Notamacropus eugenii: one gene and its partners. Each later gene encodes a partner of the first gene's protein in a complex. Links are inferred from orthologs where the notes say so. Each region holds a gene or a part of one and is shown on either strand. Other genes may lie near its edges.

Region 1 (7,550 bases):
CCTTTTGGACAAAGAACGTGAGACTGAGAATTTCAAGGTCATTTAGTGCAGCCCCCAGAGAGAGGCAGGGACTTACAATCACACAGTAAGTTGGTTAGTCCTTTTAGCGTAAAGGTTTTTGTCACAACAGTCCTACAAGTCTGTGGTTGTGGGGTCAGCCCCCTTTCACTAGGGGCAAACAAAGCTTGGTAGAGGCCGGGAAGGCCTTGCTCAGGGATGTGGGGCAATGAAGACTCAAGGGTAGGAGTCAGGGTTCGAACAGCATAGATGACAGTCTGGATCCCAATGTAAAATCCTTCACATGGGTCCAAAAAACCAAGATCCCAAACACAGGCTGGAGAAGTGTGGCCAAGGAGTCAATTGTCCACAGATTTTCCTGGCTACTGTGAGCCTCTACAGTCTGGGGTCAGACACGGAGGAGGTAACTGCTAGTTCCCACCCATCAGACACAGGCCCATGGAAGCCAATGACAGGTAGTGCTGCTGAGGGCAGGAGCGGCTGCATTAATGATTGTAGGGAGGCCTGGAGAGAGAGGTCTTTGGACTGAGCCATCATGGAGATCTTCAGTAATCTTGGAGGTGTGGGGAACTGAGCGATGAAGGCAGTCACCTTCCCAGAGTCTGGTGGTAATAAGGAGGCGGGTCCATGAGGAGGCTTTAAATCTGGGGAGTGAGGGGCCTCAGGGGCAACAGGGAAAGAACCAACCGATGGAGATGGGAGATAAGGAAGTGAGAAAAGGCATGACCTTGAGGAGGCAGCAGCAGGGCTATGTCATGGAAGTTGGAGGCATGAGGAAGAATGCAGATCAATGGTGATGGGCCAGGAGGTCCAGAGCCTGGCGCAGACAGCTCTTGGCATATGGCATCTCCCAAAAGTAGAAGGGGAGATCCCCAGCGGGAAGGAAGGGGCTTGGTGGCCCAGGCAGGAGCCCCAAACAGGTGAGATAACAATCCCCCAGTGGGGGGGGGGGTGTCCATTCAGCCTGCCTCCAGCAGCACCAACATCAGAGCAGAGGAAGTCTGGCTTGGGCAAGGTGGGGGATTGGCCAGGTGGACTTGATGAGAGGACAAGGAACAAGATGCTGGTACAGGGAGGGCAGTGTACGAGTCATACAACCCATTAAGAGGTCAGGCTTCAGGGGTGACTGTGCCAGGTACCACCCTGGACATTGAGGTTACACAGGCAGAAATGTCACTGGGCTCGTGTTTGATCTGGAAGGATGATGTGCACTCAAAATACCAACTATGCCGAAGGAGTGGAGATCTCGTTAATGTGAAGACCCTCTGATGAGACAGGCTGAAGCCAAAGAGGGATCTGATGTGCTGGCTGCCTTCTCCTACTTCTCCTGACCTTGGGAGGAACCAGTGGAGCTGGCTGGTATTGACATGTCCTCCTGCCCTTGTGGAAGCAGCCAGGCTTCTCCTCTGGCAGCCATTGCCTTTAACTCCCATTGTCCTCCCTTGGCTCTCCTCACTGGCACCATGTGGCAGCTGGCTCATGCCCAGCATGCACTTACCCACCCATTGGTGCTCTCAGTGTAACATGGGAGAAGAGCTTGGCCAGACCATGAGAGACAGCTGCTGCTGTCTGTGTAGTCAGCTCATCAAAGGCTCAGCAGAGGAGTGAAAAACTGTAGAAAAAGGAAATGTGGTGGGCCTGGAAGCACGGAACAAGTGATTGAAATGAAAGATGGCCACTGGGAAGGCCATTGACACTGATGATAATTTCATTCAGAAATCTGAGCAGTAATGGATTTTGAATAGCATTTCCGGATCGCCTGACGTTGAACAAAGCACTTCACAAATATGATCTCATCTGATCCTTCCAATGCTTGTTTTACAAGTGAGCTTGCTGTTTGCCCTTCCTTTTCCAGGAATGTGATGCCATGATGTGCAAGTGAATTGGATTTGTGAAGTAGGGCTGGGCAAAATCACCAGCCTCACTTTCTCCTCTGGAGGCATCCGGGTCAACTGCAGATGGCCCAGGGTGCAGTGGAAGATCCTGACCTTTAAAAGTAAGGTCTTAAAAGAGGTCTCAGTTTGACTGAGGCAATCCCAATCAATGATTAAGGTTAGGTAAGAAATGAGGCAGAGAATGGCCTCTTAAAAAAAAAAAAAAAGATTGGGGAGGGGAGGGGAAGACCCTCAGGGTTTCCGGCCAAAACAGTAACAGTTGCTATTTACGTTCACTCTGAGCCAATCAGGAGCCAAAATAATGACCAAGTAGGGATTGACCTGGGACCTGTTGTTGATCAATACATGAGAGCCCGAGTGATGTGGTCTTTAAGAGAAAAGAATAAAAATGTTTCAGAGATTAAACATTTCCATCTCTCTGAGCAGAGCACCCACAGGTAAGGTTGAGATACTCTGAGTGGACTGGGAAAGAGAAAGAAGAGGGGAGGGAGGGAGAGAGAAAAAGACATGGAGAGAAAGAGGAGAGAGAGACAGACAGACAGAGAGAGACAGAGAGTGAGAGAGACAGAGAGAGAGTGAGACAGACAGACAGAGAGACAGAGAGAAAGAAAGAGACAGAGAGATGGAGAGAGAGACAAAGAGAGAGAGTGAGAGACAGAAAGAGTGAGACAGAGACAGAGAGAGAGAGACAGAGAGATGGAGAGAGACAAAGAGAGAGAGTGAGAGACAGAGAGAGAGTGAGAAACAAAGAGTGAGAGAGACAGAGAGAGACAGAGAGACAGAGAGACAGAGAGAGAGTGAGAGACAGAAAGAGTGAGAGAGACAGAGAGAGTGAGACAGAGACAGAGAGAGAGACAGAGAGAGAAAGAGACAGAGAGATGGAGAGAGAGAGACAAAGAGTGAGAGTGAGAGACAGAGAGAGAGTGAGAGACAGAAAGAGTTAGAGAGAGAGTGAGTGAGAGACAGAAAGAGAGAGACAGAGAGTGAGACAGAGAGATGGGGAGAGACAGACAAAGAGAGAGAGTGAGAGACAGAGAGAGAGTGAGAGTGAGAGACAGAAAGAGTGAGAGAGAAAGAGAGTGAGACAGAGACAGAGAGAGACAGACAGACAGAGAGAGACAGAGAGAGAGAGAGAAAGAGACAGAGAGATGGAGAGAGACAAAGAGAGAGTGAGAGACAGAGAGAGAGAAAGAGACAGAGAGATGGAGAGAGACAAAGAGAGAGTGAGAGACAGAGAGAGAGTGAGAGTGAGAGACAGAAAGAGTGAGACAGAGAGTGAGACAGAGACAGAGAGAGACAGACAGACAGAGAGACAGAGAGAGAGAGAAAGAGACAGAGAGATGGAGAGAGACAAAGAGAGAGAGTGAGAGACAGAGAGTGAGAGTGAGAGACAGAAAGAGTGAGAGAGAGCTAATAAGAAAGAAGGAAGAAAGGAAGGTCTGAGGCTGGATGTGAACAAATGAATGTGAGTGTTCTCCATACCAGTGCAGTGCTCTGATACCTGCGAAGCCACTTACATAGCTGCCCCAAACAGAAAATCATCTTGGAAAATTCCTTTTAGGAGAGATGATAGGCAGTTATGAGAATATTGTCTCATAAAGAATGAGAAGACTGGAAGTTAAAATGAGTTGAAACGAAGCATGATGAGATTGCCTAAGCAAGTCACCCCAGTATTCCAGGATGAATGTGGGAGGAGTACAAGAATCTGAAGAAAAATGGGAAAAAATTGCAAAAATCATCATTGCAAACAGCTGGGGACCTCCGAGTCACTGGGTCTACGTGGCCTAGCCTCAGCGTGGCCATTGCGCACTGTTCTCTGAGGGGGGGATCCAGGGGCCACACTGGAGGCTTCTGGTCATCCAGGAGCCAGTTTCCATTCTCTCCCTTTCATCTTCCTCCCTCTTGAACACAGCGGGGATCTCTCTCCCACTTCCTCTCCTTCTTTCTTTCCTTTCTCCCTTCCCCTCCCCTCCCCTTCCTTCTCCCCCTCCCTCTCATTCTCTCCTCTCCTCCCATCATTCGTGACAGCTGTCCACTCGTGGCTGCTTCCAGGCTGGAAAGGCCCCCCAGGCACAGGCACCCAGGATGCCTGGAGAGCCTGACTCCGGCGGGGGTATGGGAAGGACCCCTCTGTCAGCACCCAACGAGACCCAGACACCATTGTTTGCGCCGGGCCTGGCTGCGAGGAAGAGGGATGCGGGGAGGGAAGCAATGTGTCCACAGCCTGTTCGAAGGCCGCTGCGGGGACGGGTCCTCGAGCCTCTAAGGCCCCCACGTGGTCACTGGGGCGGGGCCACGCCCAGTTGTTTTGTACTTGCCCTGGGCAGGAGGAGGCCGGGGGCGGGGCTAGGGGAGGCGGGGCGAGGGGGCCGCGCCCGGTTCTTTTGTCCGAGTCCGGACTGGAGGCTGGGGGCGGGGTTGGAGGCGGGGTTGAGGGCGGGCCCGGCTCTTTGTCTGCACCGCCCCGGGAGGACGCACAACCGACGCACACCCGGCGCGAGCACGGAGGAGGCGCGTAGACGTCGGCACGTACGGACGCGGTCCGCGCGGAAGCAGCGCGCAGGCGCCGGCGGCTCGAGGAGAGGCGCGCACGCGCACGCTTCCCCGCCGCCGCCGTCGGCCCCGCGCGCGCTTGCGCAGTGAGCGGCGCGGCCTGGCCTGGAGGGTGTGGGCGGCGGCTGAGGCGGCCGGGGGTCCGAGCGGGCGACGGTGGGCGGCTGGACGGCCTGGGTCCGTGGGGACCGGGCCTCGGCGCGATGATGATGATGGCTCTGAGCAAGACGTTCGGCCAGAAGCCGGTGAAGTTCCAGCTGGAGGAGGACGGCGAGTTCTACATGATCGGGTCCGAGGTGAGGATGAGCCCCGGGGTCCCAGTGGGCCCCGGCGGGGAGGGGGAGGAAGGGGCCAGGGCCACGTGGCTGACTCCGAGGCGGGGGTGGAGGAGGAGAGGAGCCCCACGATTTGGGGGGACTCGGGGCCGACCGGAGGGGGGTATGTGGGGAGAGTGGGAGGGGGAAGAGCGTTCTGGAAACGGTCCCTGCGCCCGCATGCAGTGGGCGCTTAATCAGTGCTCGCCGGTGTGGGGGGGCGACCAGCCCTGGCCGGATGACTGAGGGCGGGGGAGGGGAGAGAAGAGGGACGGGGGGAGGGGGGGAAGCGCCCCTCTCCGAGCTCTTCCTGGCCCCCGCCTCTGTCTCCGTCTCCGTCTCTTGTCTCCATCTCTGCCTCTGTCTCTTGTCTCTCTCTTGTCTCTGTCTCTGGTCTCCATGTCTGTCTCTGTCTCTTGTCTCTCTCTTGTCTCTGTCTCTGTCTCTTGTCTCCATGTCTGTCTCTGTCTCTTGTCTCTCTCTTATCTCCGTCTCTGTCTCCGTCTCCTGTCTCTTGTCTCTGTCTCTGTCTCTTGTCTCTGTCTCCGTCTGTTGTCTCTGTCTCCGTCTCCGTCTCTTGTCTCTGTCTCCGTCTCTTGTCTCCGTCTCCGCCTCCTGTCTCCGTCTCCGTCTCTTGTCTCTGTCTCCGTCTCTGGTCTCTCTCTTATCTCCGCCTCTCTCTTGTCTCCATCTCTGTCTCTTGTCTCTCTCTTATCTCCGTCTCTGTCTCCGTCTCCTGTCTCTTGTCTCCATCTCCGTCTCTTGTCTCCGTGTCTGTCTCTGTCTCCTTCTCTTGTCTCCGTGTCTGTCTCTGTCTCCGTCTCTTTTCTCCATCTCTGTCTCTTGTCTCTGTCTCTTGTCTCCGTCTCCGTCTCTTGTCTCCGTCTCCGTCTCTTGTTTCCGTCTCTTGTCTCTGTCTCGTCTGTTTCTGTCTCCGTCTCTTGTCTCCATCTCCGTCTCTTGTCTCTTGTCTCCGTCTCCGTCTCTTGTCTCCGTCTCTTGTCTCCGTCTCCGTGTCTGTCTCTGTCTCTGTCTCCATCTCTTGTCTCCATCTCTGTCTTTTGTCTCCGTCTCTGTCTTTTGTCTCCGTCTCTGTCTCCGTCTCCGTCTCTTGTCTCCATCTCTGCCTCTGCCTCTGTCTCTTGTCTCTCTCTTGTCTCTGTCTCTGTCTCTTGTCTCCATGTCTGTCTCTGTCTCTTGTCTCTCTCTTATCTCCGTCTCTGTCTCCGTCTCCTGTCTCTTGTCTCTGTCTCCGTCTCTGTCTCCGTCTCCTGTCTCTTGTCTCTGTCTCCGTCTCTTGTCTCCGCCTCTGTCTCTTGTTTCTGTCTCTTGTCTCTGTCTCCGTCTCTTGTCTGTTTCTGTCTCCGTCTCTTGTCTCCATCTCCGTCTCTTGTCTCTTGTCTCCGTCTCCTGTCTCCGTCTCCGTCTCCTGTCTCCGTCTCCGTCTCTTGTTTCCGTCTCTTGTCTCCGTCTCCGTGTCTGTCTCTGTCTCTGTCTCCATCTCCATCTCTTGTCTCCATCTCTGTCTTTTGTCTCCGTCTCTTGTCTCCATCTCCATCTCTTGTCTCCATCTCTGCCTCTGCCTCTGTCTCTTGTCTCTCTCTTGTCTCTGTCTCTGTCTCTTGTCTCCATGTCTGTCTCTGACTCTTGTCTCTCTCTTATCTCCGTCTCTGTCTCCGTCTCCTGTCTCTTGTCTCTGTCTCTGTCTCTTGTCTCTGTCTCTGTCTCTTGTCTCCATGTCTGTCTCTGACTCTTGTCTCTCTCTTATCTCCGTCTCTGTCTCCGTCTCCTGTCTCTTGTCTCTGTCTCTGTCTCTTGTCTCTGTCTCCGTCTCTTGTCTCTGTCTCCGTCTCTTGTCTCTGTCTCCGTCTCTTGTCTCTGTCTCCGTCTCCGTCTCTTGTCTCCGTCTCCGTCTCTTGTCTCCGTCTCCGTCTCTTGTCTCTGTCTCTGTCTCTGTCTCTGGTCTCTCTCTTATCTCCGCCTCTCTGTCTCTTGTCTCCATCTCTGTCTCTGTCTCTTGTCTCCGTCTCTGTCTCTGGTCTCTCTCTTATCTCCGCCTCTCTGTCTCTTGTCTCCATCTCTGTCTCTGTCTCTTGTCTCTCTCTTATCTCCGTCTCTGTCTCCATCTCCTGTCTCTTGTCTCCGTCTCCGTCTCTTGTCTCCGTGTCTGTCTCTGTCTCTGTCTCTTGTCTCCGTGTCTGTCTCTGTCTCTTTTCTCCATCTCTGTCTCTTGTCTCTGTCTCTTGTCTCCGTCTCTTGTCTCCGTCTCCGTCTCTTGTTTCCGTCTCTTGTCTCTGTCTCCGTCTCTTGTCTGTTTCTGTCTCCGTCTCTTGTCTCCATCTCCGTCTCTTGTCTCTTGTCTCCGTCTCCTGTGTCCGTCTCCGTCTCCGTCTCCTGTCTCCGTCTCCGTCTCCGTCTCTTGTCTCCGTCTCTTGTCTCCGTCTCCGTGTCTGTCTCTGTCTCCGTCTCCATCTCTTGTCTCCATCTCTTTCTTTTGTCTCCGTCTCTGTCTTTTGTCTCTGTCTCTTGTCTCTGTCTCCGTCTCTTGTCTGTTTCTGTCTCTGTCTCTTGTCTCTGTCTCTTGTCTGTCTCTGACTCCATCTCTTGTCTCTGTCTCCGTCTCTTGTCTGTTTCTGTCTCTGTCGCTTGTTTCTGTCTCTGTCTCTTGTCTGTCTCTGTCTCCGTCTTTTGTCTCTTGTCTGTCTCTGTCTCCGTCTCCATCTCTGTCTCCGTCTCCATCTCTGTCTCCATCTATGTCTCCCCTCCCCCT
Region 2 (7,754 bases), on another chromosome or scaffold:
AATCTCTGCCCAAAAACCCTAAATGGGGCCATGAAGAGTCAGACACGACTGAACAACAACAAATGTTAAATATGTGGCATTAGGAACGCCCTCCACAAAGGTCTAGCTCAGTATATCCAGTCTTATATCTCAGCTAGCAGTGATTTTCAACTCTGGAACTAACCAAAAAGTTATTTGGATGGTGGAAAGGCAGAAAGATTCAGTGGATCCAAGACTCAAAATTGTTAAGAATTTCCATTCTTAAGTATGTTTGGCTTGACTTCACATGTGTAATTGATAGCATATTCTTTGCCTTCTCAATGGGTGGGGAGAGGCTGGAGGGAGGGAAAGAACTGGGAACTTTTCATCAGCTGAGCATGCCCATGAACAGAGAACTCTATGCACATGCCAGCATCACACAGAACTAACACTCTATAAATATTGTCAAATGGCAGCAGCTTTCTTTCTTTTTGAGTCATAGGCCAGTCACAGTCTGGTGAAGCCCATGGGCCCGTTCTCAGAATTATGTTTTTAAATACACAAAATAAATACATAGAATTATACAGGAAATTAATGATATTGAAATACAGATATCAAAACTTTTTAGAAACAGGCCCATAGCCCCCTGGTTAATAACCAATGATATATGACATTGAGACATGGAATATAATTGCCTCTGAATAACTAAAAATTGAGTATTTCATAGAGCAAGTGTGAGGAATCTGAGACCTCGAGGCCATATGTGGCCCTTGAGGTGCTCAAGTGTGGCCCTTTGACTGAACCCAAACAGGAAGGGAAGGGAAAAAGGAAGTGAAGGGAAGGGGGAAGGGAAATAAGCATTTATTAAGTGCCTACTATGTGCCAGGCACTGACTTAAGCAAATATTATCTCCTTTGAGTCTCACAACAACTCTACAAGGTAGGTAGTTATTATGCCCATTTTACAGTTGAGGAAACTAAGGCAGAGATAAGTGACTTGCCCACAGTCACATGGTTAGTAACAGTCAGAACTTCCTGATTCCTGGCTCTATCCATTGTGTCACCTAAATACTGGGAGCATCTTCTGTGGAAAACATTTTTTAAAAAATTAAAATTTTACTCTGAACTTAAACATCAAACAAAATCGGTATTTCCCATCTATACAGTAGAAAAGAAAAAGATGTGAAACTTTTACAAAGGAATATTTGCTTCAGAAGATAATCAAAAACAGACAAACATACTCCCCCAGAACATGTGAAAGGCACAATCCTCCTCCTCCCCTAGGCCACCTCAGTCTGTAGGGAGAGGAAGGGGATTAGGTTCACAGCTTAACTCAGTTCCAATGAAAGACAGTGCCAGTTCCAAGTCCAATACCCTCCTGTGGGTCAGAAGCCCAGGCATCATGACTCTTGGGGTTTCCCTGCCAGTCTGCTTCACCCCACCTGCAACCCTGGCTCCCAAGGCACCATGACTGGCACTCAGAGGCCCAGAGAATCACCTCTGACAGGTACCTGAAACTGAGAATAACAGAACAGAAACCAACATGCTCAAGACCATTTCTCCAAGCTGGGTCATGGGTTTACTTTATGAAAAGAGCACCACAGAAAAATGGTGGAGGAGAACCTGGTCTGTTCCTCTCACCATTTTAGACTCAGGTAAGAAGATTACTCCACCCAGGTGGAATTCCATGTTAGATAGCTTGGGCATATTCAAAGGCACACTCCATGTTAAAACTGGCCATACTCAAAAACTCAGGCTGCACACGAAACTGCAGATCTCTCTTATAAACTGCCTATTTTTCTTCTAAAATATATAACTTCACCCAGCACCTTTCAAAGCTGCCCTACTTGTCCGGTCTTCTTTTCAGCCTGCCTTCTTTTCTCTCCATTTTTGAAAAAAAAAAAAAGCCTCAGTGGCTTTTATCTTGGTTTTTTGTTCTTTTGGTCATCCTATCTCTATCTTCATTTGCCCTCCTTTCTCCCCAGAATGCCATAGGAAAAATAAAATAAAGCCTCTAGGACAAATATGCACAGAGCACATTCTGGGAAACATGGGGGCAGCAAAAATCTCACAAGATGTTCATGGACGGGTTGCAATCTGTATTGTTGAAAGGAACTTTTGAATCCAAGAAGTCATAAAACTATTCGATAAATTCACCCAGAATTCAGAAAAGAAAGAGCTCAGAATTGACCATTTATATCTTAAAGAAACAGAAATGGTATCTGAACTGAGGAATTTAATCTATGGTCTTATTTTATTAATTGTCAAACCATAGAATACTGGGGTAAAAGTTGTCATTCTTCTTTTTCTAGAAGTGTAAAATAAGGAACAAATAAAAGTTAAAAGATTTTACTCATGTCTTGTGGTCACATTAACCCTTTTCTCTCATAGAAGGATGGATTTTGGGTAAAGACTGAGGATGAGGAAGAAGGCCTTTGACAACTTCTCAGAAAGAAGGCTGCCGATCAGCAATCTACCAGAGGAATATAAGAAGCCAAACAAGTACTAAGATGGATTAGCTCTTGGGAGGAGGGGAAACCAGCAGTTTCTGTTCAGCCAAGCAGTTTGTGAAAAGTACCAAAGAATTGTAGGAAAAAGGTAATACAGAGGAACAAGAATCACCCCAGTGGGAGATCACACGGGCATAGATTTAGAGCTGTACGCCATCCAGAACAGATTTAGACTTTTAAAGTTAACCAGTGAAAAATTCTGTCCGCCTCCAGATAGAGAACTGATGGAAGCAGATTATTTTCACTCCATGAGTAATACGAAAATGTTTTGTATGACTTTATAAAAAAAGAGTTATCTAGTCCAGTCCACTTATTATATAGATGAGGAAGCTAAGGTTAAATAACTAATCAAAGTCACACGGATAGAAAGTGACAAAGCTGGCATGTGCACCAAGTTCATGTTTAGATTAAAACAATGAAAAGAACAGGTACCTAGATACTGAACCAGTTAGTGAGTCAATGAACATTTATTAAGCATCTTCTGTGCCAGGCACTATGCCAAGCGCTGGGGATACAAACAGGAAAATCAGTGTCTGCTCTCTAGGAGCTTATAATCTAATGGGGGAAAGTCTACACAAAAGGAAGCTACATTTTCTTTTCTATCTATATGGTTGCAGTCACTGTGCATTTTGTTTTCCAACCTCTGCTTACTTCACTTTGCATCAGTTCATGGAAGTCTTTTCATGCTTCTATGTATTCATCACAACCATAGGTTTCCCACAGCACAATGCAATTCCAGTATATTCACCCACTACAATTTGTGGAACCTTCCCCAGTCAAAACGTGGTTTCCAGTTCTTTGCTACCCCATGAAAATCAAATTACTTTAAATGCCGTAAGGGAAGATTGATGAGATGCTTCTTCCACCAACACCCTTTACAATGCATGTCAGAAGTTGTCTTCTTGTGTGTGTGAAGGAATCCTGCTTTGAAGCAATTCAGGCTGCCAATAATTCTCTGCCAAGCAGGGTTAGAGCCAGGATTAGAACAAGAGGTGAGTTCCTTCTGGAATCTCCATCTTGGGGAATGACCCTGACCAGAGACTTCTCCACCTCGCCCTCATGTCCCAAGGGCCCCCTTCTCTCATTAACTCCTTCTTGAACCTCCATTTTGAAGAGACTCAAACCAACCAGCCAACTTTCATTCTCTTTCTCCACTCCTCCACCCCAAGCCCCTGGGCACCCCCAACCCCTTCAAACTCCTTTCCCTGTTAGAGAAACAAAAGCAGGGCAGTTAGGAGCCTCAATGAATAGAGTGCTGGACTTGGAGTCATGGAGACCTGAGTTCAAATTCAGCCTCAAACGCACAGTAGCTCAGTGGCCCTGGGCAAGGCACTTCACTTGTTTGCTTCAGTTTCCTATTTCTGTAACGGGATGTCATGAAAAGCACTTACCTCCCGGGTGGTTAGAAGGATCACATCGGAGTGCTATATTAAAGGCAGCATTATTATTATTCATTAAAATGTAGTAAGTTCCTTGAGGGCACTTGTAGCCCCAGGGATGTAGCACAATGCCTGGCCATGGGAAGGGCGCAAATGCCCGCTGACTTAATCTAATGTGAACAGGCAATCAGTCACGCAGAGATGGGCAGCGGGGGCACGCGGAAGTGGGGGAAGGAGAGCAGCCCCCCGCAGCAGCCCCTCCAGCCCTGCCGAGACTGGATGGGCTGGTTTGGCGGGGACCTTGGTGCCTGGGCTGTCTCTCCCAGGCTGGGAATGAATGGGAAACCTGCCCTCGGCCACCCCCACGGGTCTCGGCCCTTAAGCTAAAGACAGTGACATTTACTAGGAGTTGATCAGAAGGCGGTGAAGGTGCGCGATAGCTTCGGGGTCTGCTCGGGTTTTTCCCCTCCTCCTGTCCTGCAGGGGGCGGGAGCACAGCTAGGAGGAGGAAGATGCCTCCGGCGGTCTCCCGGTTGGGGGCGGGGGGAAGGAGGCGGGGTTCTGGCCAAGGGAGGGAGGGAAGCCGGCAGTTAGAGGCGGTTCTCGCGAGGGGCGGTATTTGAGGGGTGTCCCTGGATTGGGTGAGACATGAGGTATAGGCGGGGCCTAGTCGGGGGCTGGGCGGAGTCAGTAGTTTGTTGCTGTCAGCGGGAAGTGGGGACATTGCTGCCCCTCCTCCACTCTCCACCCCCCCCCCCCCCCCCCCACTTCCACCGAGGGCTGAACTTCCAGCGGGTGGGTGCAGTACCGAGCCCAGATCAGGATTTCTCCGCCTCCTCCCCTCCCAGCCCAGGAGCGGAGCTAGGACTGACCCGATCCATACCGGATCAGTGCAGAGTTTAGAAGCCGGATCAGGAAATCTCGGGTCCCAGACCGGGAAATCCCGGAACCTGGATCAGTAAAGCTCGGAGCTCGGACCCGGAAGCCCCGGAGCTCGGATCGCGGAGGGGGTTCCTTGGGCGCGGAGCCCGGAACCTGGATCGAGGCTGAGACCAGACGGGACGGAACGATGTCGGGCCGCGGCGCGGGCGGGTTCCCGCTGCCCCCGCTGAGCCCCGGAGGGGGGGCGGTGGCGGCGGCCCTGGGGGCCCCCCCGCCCCCCGCGGGGCACGGGATGCTGCCGGGAGCGGCGTTGAGGGGCCCAGGGCCTGCAGGAGGCGCGGGGGGCCCCGGGGCCGCAGCCTTCCGCCCCATCGGGCCCACGGGACCCGCGGCGCAGTACCAGGTGCGGGGCCGGGGGCCGGGGCTGGGGCGGCGTGGGGCCCGCCGGGGCTCTGGTGCAGGGGCCTGGCAGAGGAAGCGGGACTCACGGTGCCAAGTTCAAGGGTCACTCCAGCCAGGGGTCAAGGCCAACTACAGTTAGGGTTGGGGGGCGGCCCTAGAACACAGAACACCAAGTCCGGGGCTTCCCAGGCCAGTGGCTTCCCAAGATAAGGGCACCATCATAGGGAACTCAGAGGTCATCCAGGCCTGCATCCCTCAATCCCCCATTTTACAGAGGAAGAAACTGAGTCCAAAGAGGTTAAGTCGCTTGGCTGAGGTCACATAGATAGTAAGTGTCCAATCTGAACCCAAGCCCTCTGATCCCCAGGCCAAGCCCTATGGGAAGGGCAGGTGGGTATGGAATGGGGGTTGGGGGAGATTTGGTGCACGTGTGAACCTGGGTAGGGCCTTCGTGCTAAGGCCAGCCTGCCCCAGGTTGTGGAGCAAAGGGAAGCTAGTTTGAGCACCTGAGAGTGAAATGCCACATTGGCTGATGAAAGGAGTGGGGTAAAAGGGCATGTGTGGAGGTGGAAATGGAAATGGGGCGGTGGGGTGTCGGTGCAGGTGGGGACAGTCAGGGCTAGAAGTGTGAGGTGCTCCTGAACAAAAGGAGGCCCCTAAGGAGTGTGGAGATTGTTGTAGGCAGAAAGAGCACCGAGGCCTTCCATGGGTAGAGAGGAATCCTGGGTTTCTGGGGGGATATGGACAAACTAGGGGAGGGTAGAATTACTTAGGGGTAGGGGATGGCAGCCCCATTGCAGGAGTGAGGTTTCCTAGGAAGATTTTGTTTCAGGCGTTTTCTGTTTTCTGGAGCCATGAGCCGGTAATGTTTTATCTTGCCTTGGCCTGTTATGGTTTTATGTAACTCCCAGTGGCTTTTTTGGAGGGAGAGGTGGTGCTGATGGGAAGCTTAGAATTTAAGTTGAATGGACCTCTTCCTCATGCACCAGGACCTCCAGAGGAGGTCCAGTGGGTTTCCTCCGTTGGGTTTTTCAGGAAATGGGATATAGCTGAGTTAAGCCAGGTAACCAGGATAAGTCCTTGGGAAAGGAGGCCTGGGCCTATGAGAGCCCAGCTCCAGGATAGTTACAGGCAGGCATTCTCAGCACTTCGCTGTCATTGTGTCTGGGAACTGATTGCAGTAAGAGGGTTCAGAGAGACTCAGTTGAGTGCAGGTCTTGGAGTTGCTTGGAGTTGGGCAATCCTAGAGGTCAAAGGTTAGTTACTTCTGCCCCTAGAAGGCAATACCTGACAGGGATTTGTGCTGGGCTCTAGTTAGTGGGGACTTCACACCTATTTAGCCCAGTTCCCCAATCTCTTAGTTGTTTTAGATTGTTTATGAATACTTAGGAGAGTCATATCCTCTCCTATCTTCGTTCTCTACACACATTTCATTTCCGTCCACTTTGGGCTATGCTGAAGACTAAACCACCTACCTTAGCATTGAATTTTCTTTGCTGATCCACTCAAAGTCTTTGGTTGCTCTGTTCCTCTTTTCCCTCCAGGCTGAGGGCATTAGAAGGAAAGCAGCTTACAGAGGTAGGGGAACACCTATGCATTCTGCTAGCACTCTCAGATGATAACTGTTAATAGCATTTTCCCCCTTCTTACCTTTCCCAGTTGATTGGATATGATAAGCCATATTGACCCTAGTCTCAAGGCCTTGAGGGAAACAGGTCCATCTTTCCTACCTCCTGCCTTGCTCATGAGGACTTTTAGAGCCAAGACGGTTCCAGGAAGATCCAAAAACAAACCAGTTCCTTGAGCCTATCATCTTTGACATGAATTACCAGTATCCTAGGCAGCTTCAAGCCTAGTATGGATTCAGGGCTAAACTTTTTTTTTAAACCCTTCCCTTTTTGAGATGATTAAATGGCATTGAATTATATTCCCTCTCAACTTTCTCTCCTCCCCTTCCTTCCTACTGTTGGGAGCCGTAGGAAGGGTTTACTCCAATATGGGATTCATGGAAATAGCCTTGAACATGGCAAATACAGAATCAGCCAGACTATTTAGTTCACAAGACTTTAGGGAATCAATGGTCCCTTGCTCCTGAGGGAAGGGCAGATCTGGATCTAGGGGAATTTGGCAGGCAGTGACGGGTGGGGACATTTTTCTGGACCACTGGCCCTCCTTGTGCCTAGACCACGATATCTAGGGGATAAAGAACTTTGTGATGCGGTATCAGTACTACTAGGAATGTCAGATGAGCTAGGGGAATAGGGACTGTGAGTGTCTGTGGTGAAAACTGAGGAAGGAGTTAGTGGGGGCCTGTTGAAAAATGAGGAACTTCTCAGTGACTGTTGGTATTTGGACAGCTCAGCAGTAGTATCCTAAAGACAGTGACGTCTGTTCCACTTTCATCTGAGACCTTTTTGGTTAGACATGACATGCAGGATCACTAAAGTGCATTTTGTCTCTTACAAAGTTACTGTTTGGAGCATCAGTCCAGAGGTATGTTGTTCCTGGGCTTCATTCTCTACCCCTGACCAGCCAGTCTTGTCTCAGTCCTTATTCTTGTTAAGTGATAAGGGCTGAACCAGTTCTTGATTCTGGCTCATTTTCAGTTCAAGGAAGGTGATATA
Region 3 (7,483 bases), on another chromosome or scaffold:
AAAACTCGATGACCACTGGTTAGATATGTAGAGGAGTGGCTTGTTTAGGGATAACTCAGAATCAGGATGGACTCTGAGTTTCCTGACAACTAAAAAATTCTGGGATTCTTCTGGAGAGGGAGACCTCTGGGCACTGCAGCAGGCCAAGGGGCTTTCTTAAACTCCTTGGGAATCTAGAGAGAATATAAGGTTAAGATGAAAAATCCACATATAGGTTGAGGAGGTGGACACACAAAGACACACAGGCACATGGAAACACACTTAGAAAATCTAATGTAGCAAGGAGCCCAAGGTTGAGGTCTCAGGAGACCTACTTCAACCTGTGATTTTGGGCAAAGATCTCTGTGGGGTTCACTTTCCTCATCAATCCACTGACAGAGTTGGGCTCCATAGACTCAGATGTCCCACTAAACTCAGTGCAAATGCCAGTGTGGGGGAATTTGTCTCATTTTTCCTCCCTCAATCCCTCCTGGGGACTCCAGACTTTCCCTGGCAAAGGATTCGGGATGGAATGAAAAGAGTCCAGGGTTTGGAGTTTGGAGTTCGTCTTGGCTTATTACTGCATCAAGTTTTCCCTCTCCGGACTTCGATTCCCCCTCTTTAATTGGAGAACTAGGCAGGGGAATAGGTGTTGGAATAGGTGGTCCTTAAGTACTCTTTACCAGCTCAGATGTTCAGGGTTATGTCATTCTTCCAAGGCTTCGGACGATTCAGTACTGAGGACAGCTCCCAGGACCGCCCCCTGCCGGAGGTCTATTCTGTTACAAGCCCTGAAGTCTGAGAAAGGCTAAGGATGTTCAGTTTCGAGGCAGGCCCAGGGGCATGCTTCCACTCTCACCTTAGGGGACCTTCTCCATCCCTTTAGTGTGAGTCCCACAACTTAGTTTTGGGTTCTGGAGTGTTCCCTAAGGGAGCAAGGTATGGGGGAAGGAGGGGTATGATCTCCAAGTAGATCAGGAATTATCTAGATACTCAAACCCCTTTCATTTTACAGATGAGGGAACTGATGGGGGGGGGGGGGGGGAGAAGAGAAAGAATGTGTCCAGGATCACACAGGGAGTAAGTAACCGAGATGAAATTCCAAACCAGGGCTTCTGCTTTCAAACTCAGCGCTCTTCACTCCCTTCCATTCCACTGGGCTGAATCTCTGCCCCGGGCACGGGCCGCTGCTCTGCTGGGAGGAAATTTCAGAAAGGAGGAACTAGGGGATAAGGTATGGGTGATAAACTCAGAGCGGGGATGCCTATAGAGCTGGGTTTCCTGGGGATAGGTCTTGGGGATACAGGATTCCCATACATTCCCTCTACCCCACGTAGCCTGACTTGGCCGGAAGGGGGACGTTGTGCCTGACGGAGAGCTCCAGGGAAAGGATGCTCCGGCCTCCTTCGGCACTCCCCGCCCGGTACCTCGGCTGCCCAATCGGCGCCCTGGGGGAGTGGGCAACCCGCAGGGCAGTCGGGATTTGGAGTTCTCCCAGGTTGGCCCCCTCCCCACCCGGGTGTTTGAGAGGACTCCATCTCCCAACGTCCCCCGGGAGGTGTGAGGATTGGCAGACCCAGCCCACCCCTTTCCCCCTCCCCCGTGCCCCCCTTCAGTCCCTGATCCCCTCCCCCCTCCTCCTTGGTCGCGGCCCCGCCCCCCGGCCCCGCCCCTCCCCTCACCGCAGCCGAAGAATGAATGAAATTGTAGCGCGCTGGGCGGCGGAGCAGGAGCAGGAGGAGGAGGCGGCGGCGGCGGCGGCGGCGGCGGCGGCGGCGGCGGTGGCAGCGGCAGCAGCGGCGGGGGTCGGGCACGGCCAGCGGAGCGCGGGGCCCCGGGGGGCCGGAGCCGGGTCCCGAGGGCCGAGTGGCTACGGCGCCGGGGGAGGGGAGCGGGCCATGGCCACCGCCATCCAGAACCCCCTCAAGTCGTGAGTCTCCCCTTCCATCCCATCCTCCCTCCCTCCCTCCCTCCTCCCACCGGGCACGGGGCTGGGCACGGCGGGCAGAGAGGGGACAGGAGCCCTGGAGCCTTGTGTCTGCCCCATTTCCCTTCCCGGAGATTGATGGGTGCCACTGACACCTGGGCGCCCTCCGCCTCCCCCCCGCATCCCCCAAGCCTTGGGTTTGATAGGAGCTGGGGATTATTGGGAGGGGGCGGGGGATGGGCACGTTTGGCAGCTGAACCTGTCCCCCCTCCACCTTCCAAGCCGTCTCTATTGTCGCCACCCTCAGTGCAGGAATTTGCAGATCCCCAGGTCCGGGCTGGGGGCGGGAAGGGAAGTGGATCTGCTGGAGGCTGGGAGGGGGGGGTTCACCATCCCCGCCAACCCTAGGCACTGGTTCTGGGACTTGTTAACCTGCCAGCCTCCAAGGCTGGGGAAGGGAACTGGGAGCCGCAACCGCCTGGGTCCCCCCCCACTGTGGACCCTCCAGTATAACGGGGCGGGGGCGCCCCTTTCCCTGGCTCCACAGGCTCCTCCCCCAGGAGTGACAGGCGCGTGCCCGACAGAGGGGGAGGAGGCTGGGGAGTGGCGCGTGCCCGTGAGTTGTCGGGGACGCGGAGGCGCACAAAGGGGCCCCGGGACAGCCCCCCTTCCTGGCCCACCCCGTGAGCTTGGCCTTGACCTTGGGGTTGAAGGGGTGTGAGGGTCAGAGCGAGGCCGCGTGAGACTGAGGGCAAGCAGCAGGAGGGTTGGGGGTTGCTGGGTTTCCTGGAAGTCTCTGATCCCTGTCTTTTCTATCTCTGTCTCTGCGAGATCTGGAAGCTAGGGGCCGGGCGACCAAAGGGGGGGGTGGGGGGGGCCACCGTGCACGCGCCAGCACGTGTGGCCTGTGTGCGCGCTCTGCGGGTCTGTGCGCGCCCCGGCTGCTTGTAAGCTCCTGTGTGAGACTGTGATTGTGTGGGGGGGTCTGTGCATGTGAATCAGGAGGCCTTTCCGGGTGTGCGTGTGTGTGGGGTCCAGTTGTCTCTGTATCCCAGTGCGTATGCCTGTTGTCAGTGTGATCTGGGTGTCAATTTGTGGTGTAGAGTTGTATCAGCATAATTGTGTTGTATGCTTCTGTATTATGTGTTTACTGCGTGTTGTGTACTTGTGGATTGTGTGTGGTAGCCGAACCTGGGTGTAAGTAAAGGTATATGTGGTTCACACACGGTCTAACTACACATAGTGCCCACGTTAGTGCCAAAATAGGAGTCTGTCTCCGGATTTTCACCTGGCCCAGGCCTCACACCACTCTGTCCCCTTCCCCCACGAGCTGCCAGGGCCTCTCCTTCCCGGGGCCAGACCTAGATTTGGCCTCTAGTGACAGCACCGACCCCCTCCTCCACCTTCCGCCCCGCCACCCCCGCACTACATTTCCCAGCATGCCCCGGGGAGTCCCTCTCCCCCCCCATGTTGGTTGATGTCCCCGCCCCCACCCCCACCCTGAGAATGAATGGAGTGGCCGCCAGGGCCAGGGCGCTGCAGACCCCGAAGCTCTGAGGTGACCCGGGCGAGGGTCGGGCCAGGTGCAAGATGGCCACGGTCAACCCCAGCCCAGTCCGGTGGTGAGCCCGGCACCTCCGCCCCATCCCATCCCACAGGGCGGGGGTTGCAGAGCGTGTGTCTCGGAGTGGGATTTTGTGTGTGTGTGTGTGTGTGTGTGTGTGTGTGTAGGGGGGAATTGTGATTGTGTCTCCTGTAATTGTGTGCTTGTCTCGTGTTGCTGTGTGTGTAACGGAGATTTGTGCATTCGTCTTGGATTGTGTTATCAGTGGTTTGGTCTTCCGTGAATCTTCAAGTGGCATTGTATTAATCTATATTCCAAAACAACTCCACAAACGCCTATCGACCACCTACTGTGTACAAGGCCTTTGGTGTGGTTGTCATTCGGGGAGCCTCAGTGTCCTCATCTGTCTAATGGGGATGCGAATTCCTCCGCTACCTGTCTCCGTTCCAAAGGAGAGGAATTGTCTTCTTTTGCTGTCAGTGTGTAATTTGGTGACCCCCTTGACCCGTATTTGGGATTGTGTAGACAAAGGGATCGGATTAGCTGATCTGCAAAATCCCTTCCATTTCGACATACCTGGGGGAGGGGGGAAGTGAGGCTAGGGTGGGGGGAGGGCGGTAACTGTATCTGGTTTTGTGTCCTCCGGGTAGTACACCAAGGAGTGTAGAGGTAGTCTACCTGGTGTATAATATATGGGTGTATGGTGTTGTGGGGGGCGTTGTAGAAGAACTAAAGTGGGGGGAGGGACTGTGCTGGCGCTCACTCCCCCTCCACCCCCACCCCGGGACATTCGCGCTGCCGGGGATGCCTGCGGGCGTGGGCACCACCTAGCGCTCAGCCGCGGGGGAGAGAGGGTCAAGCTGTCTGAGCCTGGTTAGGGGAGGGAAGGGCTCTACCCCTCTCTCCGCCCACTGAACATCCGCCCCGGCGGCATCCCAGACTTTAGCTCCTCCTCTTTTTTTTCCCATCCAAATATGCCAGCTACTCCCCAAAGTTTGAGGGCTACCACGACGTTCCAGGACACTTCCCCGCACACCAGCACAATTCAGATGTTCTAGGCCCAAGCCCCTGCTTTTCAGCGCCTACTCTCTGGCACCTCCTGCTTTTCAGTCCCCCCTCCCCCCACTACGTTCCAGCACCCTCCCCAAGTTCCAGCTTTCTCCAGAAACTCTGGACCCGGAGATTTCGGTACTTCCCACGTTTCAGTGACTCCCAGACCCTCCAGTGACTGGGCCACAGTGTCCCAGCGCCTTCCCTAAACCCAACCCAACTGAGGCCCAGGGTCCACCCGAACATTCGAGCCGGACCCAGGTGTTCCGGCGTCCCCCGAAGTCCCGGGGCATTCCCAGAGGTTCGAGGGCTCCAGGCTCAGACCCAGAGGCGTCTGCTCGGCTGACCCTGCTTGCTTTGCCTCCCCGCAGCCTGGGCGAGGATTTCTACCGCGAGGCCATCGAGCACTGCCGCAGCTACAACGCGCGCCTGTGCGCCGAGCGGAGCATGCGCTTGCCCTTCCTCGACTCGCAGACCGGGGTGGCCCAAAACAACTGCTACATCTGGATGGAGAAGACCCACCGCGGGCCCGGTGAGGAAAGCGGCGGCGCCTGATTGGGAGGGATGGGGAGAGGGAGGAGGAAAGGGGAAGGGGAGGGGGGCAGATGCCTCAACAGTCTCCCCACCTTTGCCCCTCTCCTCTCCAGGACTGGCCCCTGGACAGATCTACACCTATCCGGCCCGCTGCTGGAGGAAGAAGCGAAGACTGAACATCTTGGAGGACCCCAGGCTGCGACCCTGCGAGTACAAGATCGGTCCGTGGGGGGCCCCCAGCCCAGCCCCTGCCCCCAGTGTGAGCGTGGCCCAGCGTGAGCACCTGAGCCTGTGTCTGAGCGTGTGCGGCCCCCGGGGCCTGTGTTGGTGGTATTGAGTCTGGGGGGGGGGAGGCACCCGGGGCGCAAATTGTTATTGATGTCAGAGACAGCGTAGAATGAGACTGACAGGGACCTAGGGACCTTGCCACCGAGGGAGGTAGGTTTTGAACTCAAGTACTCTGAGTTCCCTTTTATCTGTGTGGTAACCTATCACCTGACTGTGACTAAGAATCAGAATGACTTAAAAGTGTTGGAATCAGGAAGATCTGGATTCAGATCCTGCCTCAGACAATTGTGGTGAGATCTTGGGCAAGTCAAGTTCCTCAGTTGTAAAACAGCATGTACCCCACAGGTTATTTTGAGGTGCTCCAATGAGAGAATGTATGTAAAACATCTCCAAGAGCTAGATGGAAGCTGTTGTGCAAATGTGGTTGCATTTGTGATTGTGTGTCTGTGTGTGGTTGTGATTGTGTGACTTGTGGTAGTTTGTGATTGTGTATCTGTGTGGTTATGTGTGTATGGCTGTGTCTGTGCCTGTGGTTGTATGTGATTGTATCTGTGATTGTGTCTGTGTGATTATGTGTGGTTGTGTGTATGATTGTGTGTCTCGGTGCTTGTGTCATGGTTGTATGTGTATCTGTGTGATTGTGTGTCTGTGTGGTGTCTGGCAGGGTGAAATCTACATGCTGAGAAAGCATTCGGCAAACATGTGTACTCTGTGCAAAGCCATGCTTGTGATGGTGTCTCCGTGTGGCTGATGGCAACTGAGTGTATGAGAACTCAGAATTGAGGGCCTCAGTGAGTCTCTGAGAGTATGTCCCTAAGGGGTGGCCCATGGGAGCATGTCTGCCTTAGTTCCAGACTTAGTATGCACTGCTGTGAGCATCTCAGAAAGTGCCCCAGTGTTTTAGGTCAGGACTCAGGTCATACTGTCTAGAGAGACTCCATGGGGTGGGTTGGGGGTTGGGTAGATGTGTGTATGTGTGTGTGAGAGGGTGGGAGGCAGAGGAAGAAAAGAGGAGGGTGAGAGAAAGACAGGGAGGAGGGAGAAAGGGAGAGGGAGAAAGAGATGGAGAAAGAGGAGAGAGAAAAGGAAGAGGGAGAAGATAGAGAAAGAGAGGAGACAGAAGGGGGTCCTTGGCAAACAACATTTCTTTGACCCTCCCTGTTTTCCACCCTTCCCTCAGACTGTGAAACACCCCTAAAGAAGGAAGGGGGTCTCCCTGAAGGGCCAGTCCTGGAGGCCCTACTGTGTGCAGAGACAGGAGAGAAGAAGATAGAACTAAAGGAAGAAGAAACCATCATGGACTGTCAGGTGGGGTGGGGTGGGGGGCCTGCCCTCCAGCCCTGCCCCTATCCCTCCTCCAGACTTCTTTTGGAATAGCCACATTCTCCCCTCCAGCACATATGAGGAAGGCCACCCTGACCATCCTCCTGAGATGACACTTGGGAGTGTCACTCATGTCTGTCTCCTGCTCCAAAAACTCCCTTGACTCCCCACATCTGTAAGGAATTGGCATCCCTAGCCTACCCTTCAGTCTCAGAGGTCTCCACACTCCCAGGGGCTCTCTTCTCGAAATTAAGACTCGAGTGCCTCTGAGTCTTTGTCCCCTCCTCTCTGTCCTCCCCAGCCTTCCTACATCAATCCCCTTCCCCTAGTTCCTTCAGCCTTGCAGCGCCTTCTCTATCCTATATTCTCACCCTGAGTTGGGTTTTTTTTTGGTGTGGAAGGTTCCCTCCCCACCCCCTCACTCTAACAGAGTCCTTTTCTTGCCCCTTGCCCTCCTTGGAGACCCAACTCGGGGGCAGCCCCAGCTAGAGGTCTCTCTTCCACCATCCCTGATGCTGCTGCCCACTCCTAAAGCCTCAGCAAGCATCCCTTCCCTGAAAACTTGTGTTTCCTCCTGCCCAGAAGCAACAGATGTTAGAATTTCCCCATGAACTTGAGGTGGAGGACCTGGAAGACGACATTCCTCGCCGAAAGAGCAAAGCCAAGGGGAAGGTAGCTGGGGCCCGGTTCCCCCTGCTCCCCTGCTCCCCCTCCCCCTTCCCCTCCCAGGCCTGAGCCCAGCTTCTCCCCGGGCCGCCCATAGAGCCAGATTCTCTTATCTGCTGAGCCCATCTCTGTCTTTTTACCCTTGGCCCATT

What was found. The genes of interacting proteins can lie anywhere in the genome.
Region 2: SMARCB1 (region 1) and SMARCD2 share a complex: the UniProt entries of both Homo sapiens proteins name them as parts of the BAF complex. The link is inferred for Notamacropus eugenii from reciprocal best matches to the Homo sapiens genes SMARCB1 and SMARCD2.
Region 3: SMARCB1 (region 1) and DPF1 share a complex: the UniProt entries of both Homo sapiens proteins name them as parts of the neuron-specific chromatin remodeling complex. The link is inferred for Notamacropus eugenii from reciprocal best matches to the Homo sapiens genes SMARCB1 and DPF1.

What each region holds. Positions count from the first base shown.
Region 1 is NC_092875.1:1,882,166-1,889,715, forward strand, and holds the start of SMARCB1 (SWI/SNF-related matrix-associated actin-dependent regulator of chromatin subfamily B member 1), read left to right. Parts: upstream 1-4,536; 5' UTR 4,537-4,669; coding exon 4,670-4,762; intron 4,763-7,550.
Region 2 is NC_092873.1:343,810,293-343,818,046, forward strand, and holds the start of SMARCD2 (SWI/SNF-related matrix-associated actin-dependent regulator of chromatin subfamily D member 2), read left to right. Parts: upstream 1-4,717; 5' UTR 4,718-4,915; coding exon 4,916-5,131; intron 5,132-7,754. UniProt on the Homo sapiens protein: Involved in transcriptional activation and repression of select genes by chromatin remodeling (alteration of DNA-nucleosome topology).
Region 3 is NC_092876.1:31,450,733-31,458,215, reverse strand, and holds the start of DPF1 (zinc finger protein neuro-d4), read left to right. Parts: upstream 1-4,446; 5' UTR 4,447-4,658; intron 4,659-4,697; exon of another isoform or gene 4,698-4,891; 5' UTR 4,892-4,967; coding exon 4,968-5,052; intron 5,053-5,167; coding exon 5,168-5,329; intron 5,330-6,522; coding exon 6,523-6,650; intron 6,651-7,247; coding exon 7,248-7,337; intron 7,338-7,483. UniProt on the Homo sapiens protein: May have an important role in developing neurons by participating in regulation of cell survival, possibly as a neurospecific transcription factor. Belongs to the neuron-specific chromatin remodeling complex (nBAF complex).